3 linked regions of the Daphnia pulex genome follow. The protein of the gene in region 2 purifies or fractionates together with the protein of the main gene of each other region. This does not show direct contact. Links are inferred from orthologs where the notes say so. Each region holds a gene or a part of one and is shown on either strand. Other genes may lie near its edges.

Region 1 (7,398 bases), about 6.4 Mb from region 2:
CCCTGCCACGCAAGGATGTCGCCGATAAAGACATTGTGGTTGATATTGGCCTGTGGTCCTCCCAGCCGCTTCTGATTGGCGATAGATTCCATCAGCTCCAGGTATTTGTAGTCCTGGATACGTTGGAACGCTTGTGTGGCAATGTCCAGTTCCAGCGCATTGACCGACTCGTGTGCCAGCTGTGACCAGTCGGCCTCCGTCACGCCCATACAAGCCACTTCGTAAGCTTCGCGGTAGAGCTTACGGTCAAGATACTGGTACATTGGTGCTGATAGAGGCACCTGAAGGGTGGTCATGCTGTATCCCTGCAAGCAAAATATTTTGGCGCCGTAGAATCCCACGACGTAGCCTTGAAACTTTTGCTGGTGACAGGGAAAATTCGATGCTTTGATGTTCAACCAGTTCTGACCCGAAAAGCAAAGCATATCTTCGCAATGAATGTTCCAAGCGACGCTATTAGCATGTGGCTCCTACATTCACAATTTAGGTTATTATTCTGTTGTAATCTGGGAAAAAGTTTTGGAACTACCTGAGAAATCAATTCACTGTTGCTCAATTGATAGACGGAGCAGGTATTGTTGTCATCTACAATGGCCACCTTTTGGCGTGAAGAGCTCAAGTCCAGGCAGCGGATAGGGACACTGATCTTGAGCAACTCCACCGGGAAAGGGTTATCTAAAAATATTTTGGACACCTGGCCATTCTTCAAGCCTAGCAGGAGACCCTCTTTGTTGGCCGGTCCGCCGACGATTTTTATGTAGCGCACGGGTGAATCTAACGTCCACTCGCGTTCCTTGACGCCCTGAAAGTTCACCGACTGCAGTTTCTTTTCCTGAACGAAACAAAACAAAATACCAGACAGATGTGATACGTTAGATAAAAATTTTGCAAAGAAAATCATATAAAAGATTTACGTGACACAGAATGATGTGGTTGGTACAAATGACCATAAGGCTGCATTCGAAATTCTGGCTGATTTTTTCCTTGATGACATAGTGCAGCTGTTCGCCTTCCTGTTGCTCGTAAATCATGAGTTTTTCTTGCAGCTGGACCTAGAAGAATCCAACAATAACAAGACATCATCATCCGGTCACATATTCCTGCCATTGCACGACATACCGCTAAGCGATTTTTGTAGATGGCGATTTTCTTGATAAGGTCACGGCAACAGATGCGCACTTTTTCCTCCGTCAGTAAGTGGTGGACTACCACGTCTGTCAGATGTTCTCTATTTTTCGAAATAACAAAGTAAAACGGCATTGTAAATTAAGCCCATTCACACGATCCTTATTTAGCAATACCTGAATGCGTAGCGTTCTTTATAGAGACCGTGAACGGTGCTAAATATCAGCTGGTGACAACCGACTGTTCCGTCTTCACTGCCAACGGCCTACAAGCAACGGATAAGAATTTTAACGTTTAAAAATTTTAATATGTCAAAATTTTGAATGGCTTACCACAACTGTGCTGTTTTGTTTGGTTGCCGTCGCCCAGACCCACTTGCTACACTCAGCTATGGGACCAAGAGCATATCCTTCGCTACTAAAGAGCTGACACTGTCGGTTGGATCCACAGACAAGCAGATAGTCACCACCAGCGTGACGATAAGGAACTATTCGGCAAGCGTTGAAACCCAAAGGTTTCTCCGAACGGATCTAGTAAATTCATACAATAACATTAAATTTTTAGAGGAAAGCACTTGTTGAAACAATGATATCTGATATACTCATACTTGTTTTCCGTTGGGGAGGTGGAAGGATAACGTTCTGTTACCCCAATCCGTGACACAAAGCATTTCTGCTTGGTCAGTCCTACCAAAAGAGATTGTTTTTAAATGACGAGAGGGAATTAAATTAGCATTATATAAATAATATGTACCTGTTGATGTTCCAGCACAAGGCCCATACTGGTGACTGATTGCCTCCTGGTCTTTCAATTTTAGATTTTTCATCTCCAGACTAAAATTCAAGAGTTATGAGTTATCATGAAGTTTAAAATGTCAATTTTTGTGTATACTCTGTTTCGGATGGATATTGTGCCATTGGCCAAACCTAAGGCTAGCAGGGTTCCATCATCATTCCAAGAACAAGAACACACTCGTGAACTGACTCTGTATTTTTGGACATTCTTCTGCTCAGGACTCCACAAACCAAAGTCATTAGAGGAGCAACTGGCAAGAATAGGGCTAACTGGATTGTAGGACACACATTGAATTGTTTCATTGTGCCTATTGTGGAATATGAAATCAAAACAATAATTTTGATTCCTACATTTTTAGCTAATTACTACTTACGAATATTTGAGAATGGCTTCCATGCCACCCGTCCAAATGATGACATTCTTGTCAGCACCACCAGAAGCAAAGCGCTTTCCATCTTTAGCAAAGGCTACACAATACACAATATCCTTGTGCCCTAAAATAGATGGTAGTATAAGGATTTAACAGGAAAGTTTTCGATTTAAGACACCTTACCTTTTAAAGAATGAAGCAGTGTGCCTGTTAAGGCCTCATACACAAGCACTTTGTTCCCTGCTGCAGCAATCAGTTGAGTACCATCAGCGCTGAAGCACAGATCGTATATCCTGTAAAATGTTAATGTATTCACGTTAGACCGTTAACGCATACAAATGAATGAATGATAAAGAGATATCAATAGGAATCAATCATAACACTTACTGTTGCTCTGAATTATCGCGGGTATGGACCTTGTCCACCCAGATAGGCACTGTTCTCATTATAACTGGAATTCCGATTTACATATCAGGTTAAGCTGACATTAGATCATTCAAAACGTGTTTACTATTGGTTTACTCGATCGAATCTGACAGATAGGTGGTTGAAACTTTTTGTTTGTTAACAACGATCACCAGGGCAACGACTCGAAGTCTCAAAGCAATTATGAATCTTGTCGTCGTACAAAATGCTTCTGCTAGATGGCGTGAAAAACGCGCTAAATGATCCAAATTCAAATCCTTGCCTTAAATTAACATACGAGTTTCTGTAAAATAAAAAGTATAAAATTTTCGTCGCTTTCTTCTGCTACACCTTGTATAAAATTATTCAGTAATTCTAGTTTTTTTCAATTTAAAGGATTTCAAAATAGGCCTACTACCACTGGATAACGTCACAATTTTCAGCCGACATGAAATTAATTATCAACAAAAAACAATTAAGCACGTTAACTACAGGTAACGACTACATTAAAAATTACTGGGGATCTGACTAATTACAGATCAAAAAGTTTCAGATCACTTGGAAGGACCGCACTAGCGAGCTATCAGATGCTTAAGGATTTGGTTTTCATTCGGAGAGTCGTAGAATAACAAAATTGTGATGATTTGCTTCTAGTATCTCACAAGCTAAATAATTAAGAAAATTAATTAACTCCTGTAAACAATGGTATCAATATAACTTACGAATTTGATCAAATGGAATGTTGCCCATTTCTGGACCAACGGAAAATGGATCACTTATTGATTCTTTACACACGTGTTTTTTTACAACAAATTCAATGCGTCGGACGTGAAGAGACTTGAAACACTTCACTCATGTCCTTATTTCAATTAACAATAAATAAAATTAGAGAACCAATTGATACGAGAAAATGACAAAAAGAGTTGTTTACCAGATTTTTTTTTAGATACGCGCAATAACGATGAAGACATGATGATGAAGCAGAGGTTGATTGGCACTTGGGTCTCCGGTTCTCTGCGTACTTTTACGTAAAGATCTTGACCTTCAGGTGGAATCATTCCCAACCTTCTGGTAGCTCTGCCTTCTGCGATCTATTGATGACCTTTTGGCAATTTGGTTCTAAAGAATATCATGTGGCCAACTGGTCATGCATCCGAGAACACAGCTATCCGCTTATTGATGTTGCAAACCCAACACGCAATTGTTCCGACAATTGTTTCTTGTCATAACTAGATGCATGTCAGCTTAGTTAGTTCTACAAGATGTATTAAAAAGAATAACAAGTAGCATAAGTAGCATTATTTAAATAATATGTACCTGTTATTGTTTCAGCACAAGGCCCATGCCGGTGACTGATTGCCTCCAGGTCTTTCAATTTTAGATTTTTCACCTCCAGTCTCCAGACTAGAAAACAAATTGTAAATTATCAGGAAGCTGAAAATGCCAATGTTTATTTATACCCCAGTGTAAATGCTGTTTCAGATGGACCCTTGGCCAAACCTAAGGGCTAAAGCCAACAGGATTCCCATGTTATTATTTGTCATAATTCCAAGAAAAAGACTGCAGATTTTTGGATATTCTTCTGCTCTGGTTATCAATAAAAAATCAGAATAATCAAAGGTCATTAGAGGAGCAACTGACATTGCAAATTAGAATAGCTAGAGGGGTGTGATTGGATTACCAAGAAACACATTGAATTGTAAACATTGTGACTGAAAAAGATTCTGACTTGAAACAAGAAATGGTAACAACAATCATTCTGATTTCCATATTTCCAATAAATTGCTACTTACAAGTATTTTAGAATCATTTCCAGGCCACCAGTCCAAATGATGACATTCTTGTCAGCACCCCCCCAGAAGCAAAGCGTTTTACATTTTTAGCAAAAGCTACACAATAGTCATTGTCCTTGTGCACAAAAATAAACAGTAATTGGATTTCACAAAAAGGTTTATATTTCTAAGAAATCTTACCTTTTAAAGAATGAAACAGTGTTTCTGTTGATAAGGTCATGTTACTCATGTAATACTAGTGTCGTTAGATGATATGATAAAGTCAAAACGTGGTTCACTTTTGGCACCATTTTTACTTGATCGAATTTAACAGTTGGCTGTTTGGCTGGTTGAATGAAACGACATATTGTTAAGTTGTTTTGTTTTGTTGGTAACTCGACGCCAACGATTCGACGGACAAGTCTGGAAGCGTTTCAATCTTGTCACGAAACTTTTGATACATGACGTGAAAAGGTGCCAAATGATTCCAATTCATCCGTAAACGTGAAGTTAATTAATCGAACCATCACGACCATAACGAAGAAAAATGAGCACATAATTCATATCATTTTCTGTTTTCGAGGATTAAAGTAATTTCTAATCTTTCCATTTTGCAAACCAACCCTCTTTTAACTTGTCACTTAAACTAAATAATTTATTCCAAAGTAAAAAAAAAAACGAAAAGCATAGCTCGATTCCTGAATTCAAATAAAAAACCAATTCGTGCAAACACATTTTGTTCCTTTTTCTACTAGTAGATGGCGTGGCAGAGCGCTAAATGATGTCAAATTCAAAACCCGACTCATTTCCCCGTGTCTATATAATCTCGCGTAACGAATCGGCTCCTTATTATTTAAAAAAAAAGCTCGAAAATATCCAATCAAGGTCGGCGAAAAAAAACTACGACCGATAGCACACTCCACTCTCTCTCCTTGTTAAAATGGCACATTCGAGCCATCTGTTTAACAGTCCGAAAGAAGGAGACTTTCCCAATTTCCTTTTTTCTTTCCTTCACAATCCAACAGCCGGACAGCATAAATAGTCAGACATAATCATCGACCTTTTACTGATTAAGGGCAAATGGGTCTTCTGCTTTCTTCCCTTTTGTTTCTTTTCTTATTTTTTTAATGACGGCTATTGGAATCGATAATTTAAAAAAAGGCGACTCTTATCTCAAATTTCCTCATTGCTTTTCTCACCATCCCCCCACCATTTTAAAACGAAAAATTTTCGTACAACACCAAAGAAAAAAAAAGGTCTCATTTCTTCACAAGGGGGGCGGTGCTTTCGTGTTGGGACAAGACACAAAGAAAAGCCAAAAACTTTTGAATCTATCCGAAACAAAAAAGTTTTTTCCAAACTTGATGTGCTCAACCGCGGTCAATATGGACAAAAAAGTTCTAAAGGTGGAATTGGGTGGGAGGATAATATAGAAGGTGGTATAGAAGGGGGGTCCCTTTCGCCGCTTGTGTTTTATTTCTGATTCTTTTCGCCTTTTTTTTTTCCTTTTCGCCGACAAAGAAAAAAACTCCTGGAGACGATACTCCTCAACCAGAAGAAGAAGAAGAAGAACCTGGCGATTAATTAACACGGCAACAAGCGACTCTCGGCGCTCGCGCTCCACAAAACTATCCGCAAAAAAACACGAGAAGGAGAAAGGTCTATCTATACATCTATATATCGCCCTTTTAGTTGATGTGTATAAATATAACCTGTGCTGGCTGGCCAGAGCAATGGACACATACAACACAACAATGTGTCTACTTATAAGAGAAGTTCCCCTCTCCCGTCAAAAAAAATAGTAGATAGATGTATAAGATAGAGCTAAAAGAGCACACAGCAATTATAGTTTCTTTTTTGGAACCTGGGCAAGCAGTTAATTTGGTAACGACCCGTGTGGCTGTGTGGCTATGCCAAGGTCGAAATTCTTTCAGGGGAAAAAAAATTTGAAATCCTTTCATTCCTGGTGTTATTAATGTGATTATAACAGTTAGTCACCTCCACATCAGCTGATTTAGCGTCGTCCAAGAATTTCGAAATTACAATAACTTGACAGGCTCAAATTTGATACATTTTTTTTAATAGCTGGGTCTCCGTTAGATTTGAATATTTCTAAAAAACTATCAGGGTGGAGCCCCCCACAGCAGCATTCAACAACGTAAAAGGGGATACGCATATATAGGACGTCGTCGTAAATGTTGTGAGGGACGAGTTATACTATATATATATCGAAGGATTTATAGGATTCATTACCAGCTCTCCACGGGGACTGTACTACGTCTAGTTTTCCCTACCATTCTTATTATTTTTTGATAAAATATTTGAATTTATTTTTTTACCTTCTGTAAAGGGAGTGTTTCGACCCCCGGTCTATCCCCCAACAACTCGATGGGGGGAGTTGTTCGTTCTTGTAGAGGCTACTACCATCTACACCGGTGGCTATTCATCATTGAATGATCAAACAGAAAAGGGCAGCATATAAAAGAAATCTGAGAAAAAAAATTTTTATTTTGATTATATTGCGTCCAGTTTGAAACCAAAGGAGGGGGGAGAAAAAACATTTAATGTATTGACAACCCAGATATTATTATGTGTGTGTGCTACATATAATAACCTATACCATGCTCAAGCGCATCACGTCTGTAGAGAGAGTTAAATAGATATAACCACCTGCTGGGGGAGTTGGTTATCTGGAAAGCCGATTGATGATCGCGTCTTTTCTTTATATTCATCCCCTGGACAAAATTTATTTTTCTTCGGTTATTTGTTCACTGGGGTCAGCTGATGATTGGAAGTTATTACTATCGATCTATCGGGGTTTACACAAGACACGACGGAGATTATTTATATTACATATAGGCATGGCGGGGTTAGTTATATTGGTCGTCGCTACGGTCGCTCTGTATGAATATATCAAACGATTCTTTTATG
Region 2 (7,237 bases):
AACCTGTGCACAGGCTTCATAAAAGCCGACAAGGAGATCGGGCGATCTAGCTTTCGTGTAGAAGGTCACAATGTGTTTGACGTATTCCGGGTGGGAGCGCCAGTCGAGGGTTTGTAAATAGTTTCCAGCAAGTATATAAATATCAGGCTGCCTAGACACGTTTGCGAAGAAGACAATTCGATCTGTATCGCCTGATTTTAAGAGAGCTTTCATCGCTTGATACTAGATACAAATTTCCCATTAGTTAAAGAAATCAAACAAAAAAATAAAAACCAAAGATCAATTACTTTATCTCCTGCTTGAGTAAACTTCTTTGCCGCTAACTGGTAGTCACCCTGGCGTTGAGCAACTTCAGCCAGTTGAGTCAGCAATCGGCTGTTATTTTCCCCATTTACGAGTTGATCGGCCAACGCTTCTGTCAACGTGACATTGTATTTCAAACACATGTCAACTGCATCGGAATTCTGTAAAATAAATTCCCTTTCAGACTTAGATTCAGACGTAGAAAATATCGAGATTCTAATCTTACCTTTCCTGCCATGGCAAGCAAATCTACAGCTGCATCATAATGGCGATGACTTGCTAAATAATCAGCACAACGTTGCAGTGATGCAGGATTCGAGTTTTTGTCCAAACGTCGAGCTAATTCTAATACAGCTTCATGCTGTTCCGTTCTTTGAAGGGCGCAAGAAAAATAAGCCAAACATTCACTTGTTATACATTTCATGCAAGATATTACCTAGAAGCCAAATCGAGGGCAGTATCAAGAAGTCCAGCTTTACTGTACAGCATGACTGCTCGATCGAATCTCGGTTGGCGATCGCTGTTAGCCGATGAACCTTCAAAATAACGTGCAGCTTCAATCATTTCTTCTTGTTCGCCCAGCATGGCGTATCGGTACAGCTGGTCATCCAGTTCGTGTTCCTATTTACAAAGAAAAAAGTCAAGTGTGCTTTCTCTCAAAAGGGGAATGATATGAATACTACATACTTTGCATAGACGGACAGCGTTACCGTAGGCGGCTGCCTGGCCAAAAAACTTCAAAGCCTCGGGAATGTTATCGTTAGCCTCGTGTTGCCGGGCGACGTGGAAGCAAGCTGCGCGGTCTTGGCTCTGTTCAGCCAACTCGGTCGCTCGATTCAAATCGCCCAAATAGCAATGAAGCCGCACAAGTGAAAGGTAGTCTCCAGCCCTGGCGTAGTGTTCTAGCGCCGTATCCATCTCTCCGCTGCTTTCCAGAAACTGAGCCCACCAACGAAGTCGTTCTCTACCGAGCAAACAACAATAACCTGATTAATAACCCCGTCACTTTACGAGGAATAAAAATTTAGAAAATGTACGGGTCTTGACTGGAAGTGCAATAATTCTGAAGGGCGGTTGTATCTTCGAATAGCATTCGTGGGACATCAAAATGATGGGTTTGACACTTTTCGTACATTTGGAGCGCTAACGTAGTATTTCCTACAAATAGAAAATCAATTATTTTTGAAGTGCTATAACCTAATCATGGCAGCTAATCAAGAAAAAGATTAACAAGATACGTACCTTCGCCTTCGAGATGACGAGCGTACTCGTAGTAAGTCCGTTTCAAGTTGATTCGATCTTTAGTGTGGGCCAATTGCAACGCTTCGTCCCATCGGTTAGAAGCCTGGTACATTCGGCTAAGAAGGTCGTAGCATAAAGATTGCTCGCACATCGCTTCCGCATCTTTCTGTAAAAAATAATATGACATCATTCAATTGTTGGGTTGAATAAAAGAAAGTTAACTCAACCACTTACTATCATGCCCAACTGGACGGCAAGAACAGCTGTAATTGCATCCACTTGGCCTAAATATTTCTCCTGGGCAGATCGAACCGCCGCAGCTGCCCTGGCGCTGCCTAATTTCCCCAAGCAAATTAGGCCGACGTCCGGTCGCCTCAATTGGACGCAGCTGCGAGCTAAGCTTTCCCATATTTTCGGACTGTATTCAAAAGTGTCGTTAGCCATGTATTTTTAAAAATGCTAACAGTCAAGTTACTTGGCAAAAGATCGCACAGCCTGATAGGCTTGCTCCACACGCCCACGTCTTAGGTGACAGCTGAATGATAACAATGCGTCGCGGGCTGCCTTATCACGGTGATCGTTCAGACTGGCCAAACTGTCTAGCAACCGCAAATGAATTTTCGTCGCTTCATCCACAATGGCGTAGTGAGGAAGTCGGACGCCAATGAGGTCGGTTGTCATGGGCACCACGTCTTGAACCAAAAGCTCTTCCTGTTCAGTTGGAACTAAAAGCGAAACCAAACAGCTGTTCTCTTTGCCTGCGATTTGGCAAACAACAATCCGGGGTTCATCTTCATCCCAGTAATGAACTTGGAGAACGCCTTGCTCCTCTGGCCATTCGGCGGCTACGTTAAAGGATTCGACCAAATTCATTGTGGTTCTCCACACGAACAATTTGGTTAGTCCTTCATCTGCCTGTCATTCAAAATTTAATTTGTTTTTAACACTTTCGTAAATAAATAAGTGGTTTACGTACATCGACTGTAAATGAGATGCAAGAGCCATCAATGTTGGTTTTCACGGAACGGAATCGCTCAAAACCAGCAACATTCGCTGTTACGTTTTTCGTGCTTATGTGTAGCTTTGGATCACTAAAATTCAAAATAATAGTTTATGTACAAGCGAAAGGATCTTACAATGAGTAAATTAAGCTACATACCTAGTAGTCACGTCCCATAGCTTGACGTAGCCACTAGTCGATGATGCGCACAAGAAGTTACCGAAGAGATCCAACGTTACGGGAGATCCTTCCGAGTCCATAAAGGATAGCGGGGGGCACACTACAGATCCTTGAAAATTCCGCATTTGGATCAACGGACCCTCTAGACAGAAACACGCTGTTTTGTGAAGCCGCACCATCAAGCATTCGCATTCAAAACTTCCTGTAACGTTCAAATAGAATAATTTCGTAATGAAAGTCGAATATAAAAAGAGACAAACACTTACCAATTGCAAAAGGTTTTTCGTTGGTGGTACCTACTCCCATCTGGTAAATGACCACTTTTGCCTCTCCCCACACTAAAAGGTGATTCTCACACAAGTCTATTCCGGAAATTCTTATTGGTAAATCCAGCTGAACAGAATTTGTTTGTCTTTGGACGGATACTACAGATGACGAAAGTTGAACGACACCAATCTAGACAAGAAAAATCCAATTGTTTTTTTAGATATTTAACCTTTTTTTTTTCTTGCAAAATACGGTAATTTACTTCGTTCCTGAAAGCGACTGATGGTTGCTGCTGGACAATTTGATAAAGGCTAGATCCATTATGTACAAAGAGATATTTTGCTCCCCAGACGGAATGTTCGATAGAACCGCCAGAGAGGCCAACCAGACCGATGAAATGCCAATCATCTTCGGGAGTGTGAATGTCGTTACGATTATTGTTGTCTCGCCAAAAGACGATGCCACCCAAATTAGTCGCAGCGGACAGGAGAGCGTGGGTTTTATCGGGCAGGTAGGCAAGTGTGGTGAAATGTTCCGCTCCAGAGTGAAGAGTAAGCTCAGCTACGTCAGGCAGTGGCAAGAGGAAAGTATCGTTGCTTTGGCAGTTCCACAAACGGATTGTCAGATCGCCACCGGTCAGAGCAATCATATTTTTATTCAACCACGTCAGCTGAATTAATTGAGATTTCCCGCTTATTTTCACCTGAGAGAAGAAACGGAATTGATTTATTCAGAGGTTTAAAAAATAAGTAAACGCACTGTTTATGTACCGTGTTTAGAAGTTCAATGACTTTAGTTCCGTCCTTCAATTTATTTTTTCTGAAAACAGAAAGAAGTCCACCAGAAGTTAAAACACAAAGAGAATCTTCATGGTTGACAATATTTTGAATGGCCTTTTCCATTCGAACAACTTCTGTACATGCTGGGCCATCTTGAACAGCATGATAGATAGCACCTGAATTACATCATTTTTGATAGAAAACATGTCAGATTAATGAGGTTAAAAATTTCAACCAATATTCTCACCAGAGGAGCTTCCAATGAAACTCTCCCAAGGTGGTGCAGGCAATCTAAAGCAAGTCAGTTGAGAAGGTGTGTCTTTTATATCATGTTCAGTTATCTTTTGGAAATGGTTATCTTTGGAATGATTCCAGACTGTTAGAATACCATTCTGTGGTTACGAGGAATTGGAGAGAAAAATGAAAATAAGTCTAAATGTCATTAACCATTACTTTTTCATATATTCATTACGCTATTAAGGCTTAAAAGCTGATTTTCATTTGCCCAACAGAGAAACCTAACTGGGTGTTTTTGAACAGTTGGAACTTTTATCTCCTTCAAAATTTTTGTATCCAGGATGAGGGTGTAAATTTCCCCAATATCTGAACCAACAGTGACGACAGCAAGAGTAGGATGCCATTTGATCGATACAAGTTTAGAAGGGCTTTTCCAAGGACAGCCATGTAAAAGAGCACTCTAAAATTCCATTATAACACGCAAAGTTTATAGTAGATTACATATATTTGAACCATATTGTATTTCTCACCTCCTGGAATATGTACAGCTGGTTGTCGTCAGTTATGACAGCCGTGTAATTCAAAGTCGAATGAGAAACGAGGTCTTCCAAAACTTTTCCGTCGAGGTGAACTAACAACCTTTCTACAAAAATTGTCATTTTAGATTTCTTTACCAAATTACAACCAAACGGTTGCGAAAAACGTCACGAGATTCAAATATTCTAGTCCATACATTGTGTTTTCAGGAAAACATGTGTTTCCATGGAAACCCAATCCAGATGGCAACGTCGCAAAACACACCCCTGAATCCTGAAATTCAAAACGAGAAAAGGAAAAAAGGCAAAACAGATGCGATTCAGTCACTATTTATTATTCAATAGGTAAAAAGACCTTGTTGAGAAACGAGACCGACGTCTATATGTTATGTAAGAAAAATAACTAAAACAATACAGTGGCAATCTAGTGTGTTTTGTTTTAATACAAACGACTGATAGAAATAACGCACATTGAAGAGGCTGAATAGATCGGCTTCAAACACGACACACTCAGCCCCTAAATTCGTTTTTGACATCTCGTCAGAAGTTAGGTTCCCCCCATATGACACAATTTAGCAACAACGGCAACAACATAGGCACCAAAGGTATATATATAACATCGACGTAATAATTATATAAGAAAAGGGAGAGAGAGAGATAGAGGGGAGGGGGATGAGGAAAGCGTGACTACATGTGTATACATGTCATGCTTTGCTGTGTTAATAGGAGCACAGTGTAGATGAATTCCAACGAGGGAGATATTACATGAGACACATTATTGTAGGAATTGTAATGAAACAGCAGACACACAAGTCATTCGGTAGATAGTGGAAGACACTCTACAGCTATATGATATATCAAACTCAAATGCTTAAGACACGTACACAGCGACACATGAAACGAAGAGGGTGGCAAAATGGGAGGATATGATTTGAATCGGTACGAATCACCCGACCGCATTCTTATTTTGACCGACTTGGAAACTTGCAGATTTCGATTATCGAAAGATCATAATCCCAACAACTCGTAGTTTTTTTTTGTTTTTTTCACCTTCAATCCACAACAACAGCAACAACAAGAGGATAGACCAAACACTGTACAAAGCACGGGAAGGTAGGGGGGAGGGGCTTGTCAGAGATGAAGAGAATGAAAATTTAACACCGATATATAAAAATCTCCAATCGAAATACGATTTACCCGCACCATGACGCTACTACAGTGCCACACAATTTTGTTTAACTTGTTTCTGTTGGCGTGTGAAGGAAATGAAAATGAATCAGGAAAATCGAAAAGAAAACAAACAATCAGTAAGCCAATGACAAAAAGAAGAATTGACGTGATGATGACAGCGAAAAGAATTGGTTTCGCTTTGGTTAAGAACCAAAACGACACATTGAACAGCGCGGTAAATAATTAACCCCGAGAGACACAATTACAACAAAAAAAAAATTACACTCATCAATTTAATTATTTGCTTTGCATATAGTTGGCGTTTGAAGGAGAAAAAAAACTGGTGGAATAAATCCATCGTGTGTGCGAGCGGTTCATTGTATACAGAGTGCGGAGGATATGGATTGGTGTTGACGTGCCGGTCAGAAAACCTTTTTTTTTTGTAACTTGGTCGAGATAGATTCTCATGTGTATAGCTGATTTGTGTACGTGTTATTTTCCTGTTTTTCTCCATTCTCCATGTCTACTCTTCGCGAATCAAAAAGCAGGATACAGTTAAAAAAAGGGGAAGTCGTACGGGCCCGACATCCGTCGATCATGCCGACAGCTCCATACGATCCAGCGATTCTGGACTGAGCGATTCGTCCTCTTCGGACGGCTGGTAGTTGCGATCCTGCGACAGGTCGGCGCCGCCCTGGTGGGGGTGGTGATGGTCATCCGGATGGGTTTCGAAATGGCCGATCAGATGAGTGTGAGACTGATTGGCGGAAGCGTGAGAGCTGCTAAGTAGAGGATCTCCTCTGGTCGCCTGGTTGAAATCGTCTTCCATAAAGTCGTCCAGTGACGAGAATTCGCAAGCGACAGCCAGGCCACTTCCGCCGATCTCCGGAATCAAGTCGGGGACCTTGATCATTTCAAATTTGATTTTAGTCATAAATAAATTCAATTGTTAGGACTCATCGCGAAATATGTTTATACTTTTCGGAATGAGTTGTCGTCACGGGGCTCCGTCTTGATGTAAGGCGGAGTGGATGGCGTTAACGGGGCCGACGTCAGGTGCGGATCGGTCCAGGTTCCTTCCGAATCGGAAGCCGGCAGCGGCAGTCCGTGCGTTTTGGCTTGGAGTTCCAGCTGCTGGATCCGGAGCAGTAGCCGCCTGTTTTGCAATTCCAGCTGCCTCTGTCGGGCCTCGTTTTGGGCCAGACGGTCGCGGTCGTGTCTCAGCCGGCGGATGTAATCCACCGAGGCTTTGAGGATGCCTCCCTTGTTCTGGCGGACGTCGCGGAAGCAGTCGTAGTACCTGCACATATCACTATAATCTTTTAAATACTAGGAAGAACTTTGCGACGAACGACTTAGTGCTACAGCAAGTCCCCCGATCATCAATCAAAATTGTTCTGGACAATCAATTGTTTATCAAATTAAATTAGACCAATCACATTGATATGAAATGCCATAATAAGTGAATGATCGAGCCACTTGAATAATTGATAAAACATGATATCGATTCTCATTTGAAATGG
Region 3 (7,180 bases), on a different chromosome or scaffold from region 2:
GGCGCACTGTTTCATTAGAACACGATCGTTGGATTGAACGGCAAGAGAAATCCCTTTACGAATATCGCCAGATCCAACAGCGCTTCGAGAAATTCCCGATTGGCAGATACGTTGGTGTTCAGCCTGATCCGGCCCGTTTTCAACTCCTGCACTCATAGCACGCTCATAGTACAAGAGAGCATGAACGAAGTCGCCCCTAACCAATTACGTTGGTTTGTTAACAATATTTAATGGCCAGAAATAATTCATGAATTCTTACGTTTGTTCCAGCTGCTGAGCATATTCTCGAGCTATTACGCCGATCTTGTGCGGAGCTAGTTTTTCAGCTAAAAGCAAGGCTTGCTCCCATTCCATAACATCGGTGTACATGTCGATGGCAATCTCAGGCTGCGAAGACTTCAAATAACAATCCTTTTTACAAACCAAAATAATAATTTCATCAGCAGCAGATCAAAAAATTTAAACGAAATATTCCGACGTACTTGAGCTTTTTCTAAGTTTCCCAAAATCATATAAATGTGCCCAGAGAGCAACTGAAGGTCTTCAACATGCTGGATTTCTTCCAAAGACCATACCAGGGATATATCGCCCAGATGGCGGTAGATTCTAATTGCTATGGAAAAAATATATCAATGAATAAAAATCGTGTTTGGATTTATCGACGGAAAAGTTAACAAATAAAATTTTACCAAAATCTAGGCGAAAATCGTTAAGGGCTGCATTAGCTGCTTTGACCCACTGATTCGAATCTGCCAGTAGAATTCCAATATCCCACGCATCTTCATATCTGAAAATAAAATTCTCTTAATCAAATTTCAATCGTACATCAAGGAAGAACAGCCTCTCTTATTACTTTCCCATCGCCAAGGAGAACTGCAACGCATTTAATAACTCATTGCGGGACAACGACGACAATTTGCCGTTGGAGCCAATCCCAAGTTCGGGAATGAAAAGTGTCGTCAACTTGGAGGAGGCGGTAAGTAACAAAAGATCTGGTCCTTGAAGTAGGAGAGGAGTATGGCCACTTGCTAGAGGTGAAGAACAAAGTCGTATGATGCAACTCCCTTTAGAGTGAACAAAGTGCATGGGTGTAAGAATAGCAACGCATCAATTTTTAAAAATTATATCTTTTTTTAAAAACAAACCAGTAAGTCTCTCGGCGTGATAGACAAAGACGTCAAGCTTCTCGTCACTCCAAGCCACAAACACGTGACTAATCCGACTTGCCGACTCCCAAAGTAAGCCACGATGATGAACTGGGAAATCGGGAATCCTTAACAAAATTTCCTTGACCTAAGTGATAAAAACAAGTGTAAGTAGACAAGTAGATGAGGCGGTTTTTGTCATTTTCCCGATACCGGAGAGTAAAGGTAGCCGTGATTTTTTATATCCACAGCGGCTAGAAGTGTTCCTGATGTATCATGATAGATCTTTTTCCAACCAACTGCATGGCGATATTCACTGACAGGTTTCCGCTCACTCAGCGAAAAGTACACCAAATCGCCCACCTTATATTTCCGTTGCAATTGTGGTGAGATAATAAATAAAGTGACCACTTTTAGATTATCTTACGCTTGTAACGTAGACGAGACAATCCTTAGCCAACGCATGACTCCCGATCTTGGCTGTAGAGGATTCACGCAAGGGAAATACACCGCTATCCATCAGACCATTTCCTCCGTCACTCGAAAAAGAAGCTTCTTCTATCTAATAATGGATTAAAAACTAGTTATAAAATAATTTGAAATGGAATTTAATGGGGAAAACTCACAAGCTGCAAATGAACTTTGCCATCTACCAAGGCCGCAACGTGTGTTTCATTTAAACAAATCGATTCGACCGAGCCCGCATACTGCAACTTCCGTTGTAAATGACCATTGACCGCAGAGTAAAGCCAGACGTGATTGTTCAAACTATATCATGATCAATAGTTTTCTAATTAGTATTATAACTATGATTTATTAGATAATATAAGTTTACCCAAGTACAATGGCTTTCGGACCACAGGCCAAAAATACAGGCTCCAACTCACACTGCACATTGCAGATGGTATTAAGTGCAACGTCGTACACAGTCACCTGAATTGAGAAATACGGCAGTCACACGCAAAATGTAGTGTAACAGTGAGTTATAACAGACTATTCATATTTTAGATCCTACCTCTTTAAGACTGGTGAGTACAGCAATAGTGCCGAAAGGCTGCCAAACCGATGCTAGCATATTCAGACGAGTAAGGTAGATGTAGACGTTACCGGAACTACCTATGGAAATTTAATTAACCAAAGGGTTGTTAGGTAGGGTAGGTAGGTTAAATTGAATACTGTTACATGTTGCCATGTAATATAAACATGCACTATCACAGTATTACATAGCAGCAGAAAGATTGAAGAAGCTAATATAGTACCTGTGATGGCCAGAAGACGACCGTCATTACTCCACGCACAGCAATCAATTCGATTCTCTTCTTCAACAGAAATGACTGACACAGTTTCTTTTAAATCAAGTAAATCGTAAATTCTGGCACTGTTTCAACAAGAAAAATCAGCAAACAAATTATTTGAGGTCTTTGAATTAATGCTACGTATATGTTATTATTACTTGTTATCACCAGAACAAGCAGCCCGATTTAGTGACGGACAGATAGATATAGATGAGACCATGTCTCGATGGTTCCGTATCTGAAAGAGTTCTTGTCCTATCTCCTTCAAATGGGTGGAAATTGCGATGCAGTATCCTCCGGAAAAACCGATCAGAATATATCCGTCACCAAACCATCGATATGTTGTGATGTTACCATAATTTTGCTGAAAAGCTAATTCTAACGGGTTTTCTGCGTTATTAATGTTGATTAGAATTAACGTGCGACGACCCACCACAGCACTGATCTATACAATGGCAAAAAAAAAAAAAATAATAATATGAAGCGGGTTTCTTCTTGTTCAGAAATTAGATCGCATTCAATACCGTGCTCTCTGCTGTTGAACGTTCATCTTCTTTCATTTCAGAAAACTGGATTTGAGAGGGCTCATTTCTTAGGCTAGCTGTGTGGACAGTGTCACCTTCCAAGGTACTAACTGATAGAGTTTTATCTTCAGATCCCAGAGCCAGGAGATTGTCTGAACTCCATGCTCCTGTTACAATTCGCTTGCTATGTTTTCCTAGAACTGGAATTTTCCGTCCAGCCCTTTGATTGTATAAAAGAACATTTCCCTTTGATGTACCAATTGCTAGGAAAAGACCACTTTTGCCCCAAGCCATGAAACTGAGTGGATCTCTCAAACCAGTTTCAATCTTCTCAGTTTTAAGGCTAGTTGAGTTCCACATGTAAAGAAAGGAGCTGCTATCATTAATAGCTGCAAAGAAGTCACCCTCACAATCCCAGCCAAATCCTGTGCAGGACCTGTCAACAATAAAAGTATTTGTGAGCAATAAAATCAAACCATGTGGTTCCAGTAGCTATACCCAGGCATTGTGATCACAGATTTTTGGTTTCCAAAGTGGTCATATATATGTACGGTGCGGTTTGAGCCAGTAGCTGCCCAGAGAGTACCATCGTGTGTTTGCCATTCTAATTTTACGGTTCCAACGCCGACAGGGGCCTTCAAACTCAATATCAACTGATAGATAAGGGAAGAAATTAATTTCACGAACAAGACATAAACTTTACGGGCCTGAATACCTTTTCGGTGTTAAGGTGCATGATTATTTGTCGTTTAATTATCCATCTGTATATGTTTTTTTGAAAGTACTCTCGTTACCAAGCAATCACTTTGTAAACAAACGTTTTCTCACTTGTTTACATGGCCGCCGTTAGAGGTCCCTGGCAGCACCCTAAGAGAAAAATTTTCTAAAAAGCATTTTGCCATTTTGGTTGTTGTGAATGGAAAATAACGATTTTTCTAGATGAGATTAATTTTTAATTTATTGAAAAAACTGCATAAAAATAAACTATGATTGTAACAGAATATTAAAAAGTTTCAAATTTAGAAATTTTGTTGAAAGTAAGCAGACCGAAGCAGACAACTAAAAAATAATCGAGCAGTCTATCGATACGGAAGCAGACAAGTAGTTGTTGTGTTGACCCATCATTCCATCAACCAACAACATCAACTACGTTCTCATCGTTCAGACATATTTGAAAAATAGTGGTTTTATCTACTGCGAATCTCCTCCTGCCAACTTCTTTACAAGGACAACGGAATCTCCAAGTAAGAATTCGTCAAACATTCAATGTTTTATCGTGTGCCAATCGGTTTTCGACGTATTCGATATAAAATAGTCTAAAGAATCGAAAGTCTAGAGACAAAGTGTCAGCTACAGAAAGACTTAAAATCCTTCACAGTAAAACATAGACTAAATGCTATTCAAAAGAATTATTTGTTGTTTGTGTTATGGAGTCATGATCAGTAGTATTCGAGTTATCTTGTTCAACCTTATTGTTTTGTTATGGTTGTTGTAGACTTGTAACGAGGAATCTAGTGGTTTTGATTGCATTCCTAATATCGTCTGGCTCAAATAGATTTTCATGAAATTAAGGAATTATTATTTGTCCCTAAAAGTTTAGAAAAACATTCATTGTTACTTTGTTAGGTATGTAGTTACCTGTGCAGATGAAAGATATTAAAACTTGTCATTGAAATCGACTTTCCAGATTTCCATCTTTAAATCTAGAAGAAGGTTATCAACTGTGTTATTTGCAACAGCTATGTTGTAAGTCTTAGGCTATTTGCCAAAGAGAAGTTTCAGAGTCTTCCTCCATTTTTTCTTACTTACAGTTTTTTAAAGGAAAATATTTAGTTGGAATTAATTTTGGAGTGTTTTAGGCATTTAACAAACTACAAAAAAAAAAAACATTTTCATCCTCGTGGTTCTATTAATATTATTTCGTCATTATCCCACATAAGCAAGCCTAGCCGTACTTTCCATGAATTCTTTGTTTTACATGTTTCTACTGGGATGCCACGTCGAAGTTGAATGTGAGGATTTTCTAATTCATGGTGAACTGAATCTAAATTTTGTCGGATAACGGAGCCCACTTGGACGAGGAATATTTAAATTAAAAATCAATTCAAAAGGAATTGTCGTATGTTTTGATCTCGGCTGTTATGCGCGAAAGAAATGGGACTCAGTTCATACCGTGTTCTTGTGCTCTCTCGTGTTTGCATAAACTGCGTGCTGCTGGGTTAGAGATACCTCGTTCGTTCACTTGTTTGGTTCATTTCATTTGCTAGCCATTTAGAACTGCGCCGTTTTCTGCTGCTCGTGCCCCATTGCACTCTATTCACTAGTTAATTAGCAACGTGTCATCATTTCCCGCATTTTCTTTTTCAAATGAAACCACTTTTTCGATTGAATGTTTTCATGTTGGCTCATTAGTGGCTCTTTTGTCAAGGTTTGGCTTGAATCTACTGCCATTCATCAAATGAAGTGGCGTGTTGCAGTATGCGTAACGAAGGTTATGTTCCATGACGCCCTTGGCTGGTTCCCATAGCCCCTCGACTCATTATCGCCTTTCTGTCGCATAATGTCACTGTATACATTCGCAGACTTGCAGATTGCACTGCAAGAAGATGCGCCCAATCACCAGCTACAGGTTTTTTTAAAAGCCATATCCACTTTGGGCATCTGAGTCGATCATGCCTATGCCTCGTTGGGTTTCCATATTTTACTGTTGATTTTTCGCTTGGCAACTGGTTCCAAATCTCGAGATAATGAGGCTACTGTATAATACTTTGACTAAAGATCTACCGGTGCTTTAATAATGGTTCTGTCTCATTCTTGGAATCTACCAGGGTTTTCGGCGGGAAAAAGGATTGTTCATGACTGCTATCAGTTACGAACAAGAGAGAGGATATTAGGGAACAAGTCGAGTCAGCCGATTAGTGAAGGCTTTGTTGTATACCAAGGATTGGGGTCCACGAGATTTTCTGTACAAGCTTAGTAGTAGACGTTGACAATCTAGCGCTCGCATCTTCAAATAGTTTCTGGCTTCCCCTGACCGTATAGAAAACGGCTGGTGAAAGCGAACAGAAATCTCGTTCTTTGCTTCTTTCCGTTCATTTCAATCCCTCTAGTTGGGCTGGGGGTATTCTGTAATTTCGACCGAGGCTTTCTGTACTAGATTTTATCTATCGAGCAAGAGCGTGTCATCTCGAGACAAGAATCGGATCAGATGGCACATCACCCTTCCCCATTTTTCAGGTTGCGTAACATATACGAGTTTGCCCATTGCTGATTGTCCTATTCAGAGTGACTGCTATAGACATAATTATGACCCATTCTCTTTCGGTCGAACACAGATGTTTCTTTTTTGTTTTTGTGTGGCCATTTCTCGATCTACTCATTTCTTCGACTTTCCGAACCGACTTGTGTTTTGTTGCTGGTTGTGTCGTGTTGGCTGTTGTGGCGTTGGATGCACTACCAAGCCACCCTCTCCACTTATCGATTCGTTGCCAGACGGAGTGGGTGTGTCGACGACCTCTTTCACAACATCGTCATCTCGCTCTTACGTTGCTCTACAGCGGGAAAGGAAAGCGGGTGGCATGGCGTTATGAAGAACGGAAGGCGGCCGTGCCTATGGCTATACTCAAATGGGCAATAACACGTCGTCCTCTCTCGCCCTTTCTCATTCCCGCTTCCTCCTTCTCTCTTTCTACTCCACATCGGCGTTTTTGATGAAGTCATTAATGAACGCCAATACAGTGTATCGACATGACTGCGACCCAGACTGAGGTCAAATTAAGGAGGGAGCGTTTTGGTGGGTGGGTGGAAGAAGAAGAAAAGCGTTTGCAATAAGTCTACTACTGTACATGGTCATACTGCTGTTATGTTTCCTGTTTTTCTTCCATCTCTTTCTTGCCCCGTTTACCGCCTATTGATTAAGGCCTGCCGGCTAGTTCATTTAATCCGTATCCACCAAAGAGAACTTGGGGATAAAAAGGTGGTGGATGAAGAAAAAGGGATCACTCCCTTAGTCGTCGATATTGCCCAAGCTTTGCTTTTGACCATTAAGCTTCCTATAGCTCTCTTCGGATTCTTGCTACGTACACCACCCCCCTCTCCTTCTTCGACGAAAAAAAAATAGACTAAAGTGGCGCTTCAGAGTATTCGCTCCTCTCTCTGGCACATAGGTTCTATACATAGTGTATACACAAACAGGGAAAGAAGAAAAGGATAAGGG

The links.
Region 1: the proteins of intraflagellar transport protein 140 homolog (region 2) and intraflagellar transport protein 122 homolog purify together in Homo sapiens (affinity purification with mass spectrometry; 4 studies listed by BioGRID and IntAct, counting the BioPlex papers as one, with this or other methods). This does not show direct contact. The link is inferred for Daphnia pulex from reciprocal best matches to the Homo sapiens genes IFT140 and IFT122.
Region 3: the proteins of intraflagellar transport protein 140 homolog (region 2) and WD repeat-containing protein 19-like purify together in Homo sapiens (co-immunoprecipitation; 3 studies listed by BioGRID and IntAct, with this or other methods). This does not show direct contact. The link is inferred for Daphnia pulex from reciprocal best matches to the Homo sapiens genes IFT140 and WDR19.

What each region holds. Positions count from the first base shown.
Region 1 is NC_060023.1:2,445,058-2,452,455, forward strand, and holds the start of intraflagellar transport protein 122 homolog, read right to left. Parts: upstream 4,945-7,398; 5' UTR 4,669-4,944; exon of another isoform or gene 4,604-4,668; 5' UTR 4,489-4,603; intron 4,283-4,488; 5' UTR 4,156-4,282; intron 4,100-4,155; 5' UTR 4,013-4,099; intron 3,951-4,012; 5' UTR 3,627-3,950; intron 3,555-3,626; 5' UTR 3,418-3,554; intron 3,361-3,417; 5' UTR 2,737-3,360; coding exon 2,678-2,736; intron 2,584-2,677; coding exon 2,474-2,583; intron 2,415-2,473; coding exon 2,294-2,414; intron 2,228-2,293; coding exon 2,017-2,227; intron 1,959-2,016; coding exon 1,879-1,958; intron 1,812-1,878; coding exon 1,733-1,811; intron 1,656-1,732; coding exon 1,458-1,655; intron 1,391-1,457; coding exon 1,302-1,390; intron 1,229-1,301; coding exon 1,120-1,228; intron 1,053-1,119; coding exon 915-1,052; intron 833-914; coding exon 530-832; intron 471-529; coding exon 1-470. UniProt on the Homo sapiens protein: As a component of the IFT complex A (IFT-A), a complex required for retrograde ciliary transport and entry into cilia of G protein-coupled receptors (GPCRs), it is required in ciliogenesis and ciliary protein trafficking.
Region 2 is NC_060023.1:8,882,638-8,889,874, forward strand, and holds the start of intraflagellar transport protein 140 homolog, read right to left. Parts: upstream 4,782-7,237; 5' UTR 4,668-4,781; coding exon 4,539-4,667; intron 4,469-4,538; coding exon 4,244-4,468; intron 4,164-4,243; coding exon 4,019-4,163; intron 3,948-4,018; coding exon 3,763-3,947; intron 3,696-3,762; coding exon 3,255-3,695; intron 3,182-3,254; coding exon 2,992-3,181; intron 2,928-2,991; coding exon 2,705-2,927; intron 2,637-2,704; coding exon 2,522-2,636; intron 2,461-2,521; coding exon 2,021-2,460; intron 1,964-2,020; coding exon 1,780-1,963; intron 1,712-1,779; coding exon 1,546-1,711; intron 1,462-1,545; coding exon 1,341-1,461; intron 1,268-1,340; coding exon 991-1,267; intron 925-990; coding exon 740-924; intron 675-739; coding exon 530-674; intron 465-529; coding exon 288-464; intron 223-287; coding exon 4-222; intron 1-3. Other genes in the region: uncharacterized protein LOC124197929, read right to left, coding at 6,310-6,618, 6,693-7,026. UniProt on the Homo sapiens protein: Component of the IFT complex A (IFT-A), a complex required for retrograde ciliary transport and entry into cilia of G protein-coupled receptors (GPCRs).
Region 3 is NC_060017.1:217,416-224,595, forward strand, and holds the start of WD repeat-containing protein 19-like, read right to left. Parts: upstream 3,840-7,180; 5' UTR 3,701-3,839; coding exon 3,680-3,700; intron 3,618-3,679; coding exon 3,463-3,617; intron 3,401-3,462; coding exon 2,965-3,400; intron 2,886-2,964; coding exon 2,599-2,885; intron 2,524-2,598; coding exon 2,405-2,523; intron 2,262-2,404; coding exon 2,161-2,261; intron 2,079-2,160; coding exon 1,981-2,078; intron 1,914-1,980; coding exon 1,772-1,913; intron 1,708-1,771; coding exon 1,573-1,707; intron 1,509-1,572; coding exon 1,359-1,508; intron 1,294-1,358; coding exon 1,146-1,293; intron 1,065-1,145; coding exon 854-1,064; intron 788-853; coding exon 690-787; intron 614-689; coding exon 483-613; intron 412-482; coding exon 260-411; intron 197-259; coding exon 1-196. UniProt on the Homo sapiens protein: As component of the IFT complex A (IFT-A), a complex required for retrograde ciliary transport and entry into cilia of G protein-coupled receptors (GPCRs), it is involved in cilia function and/or assembly.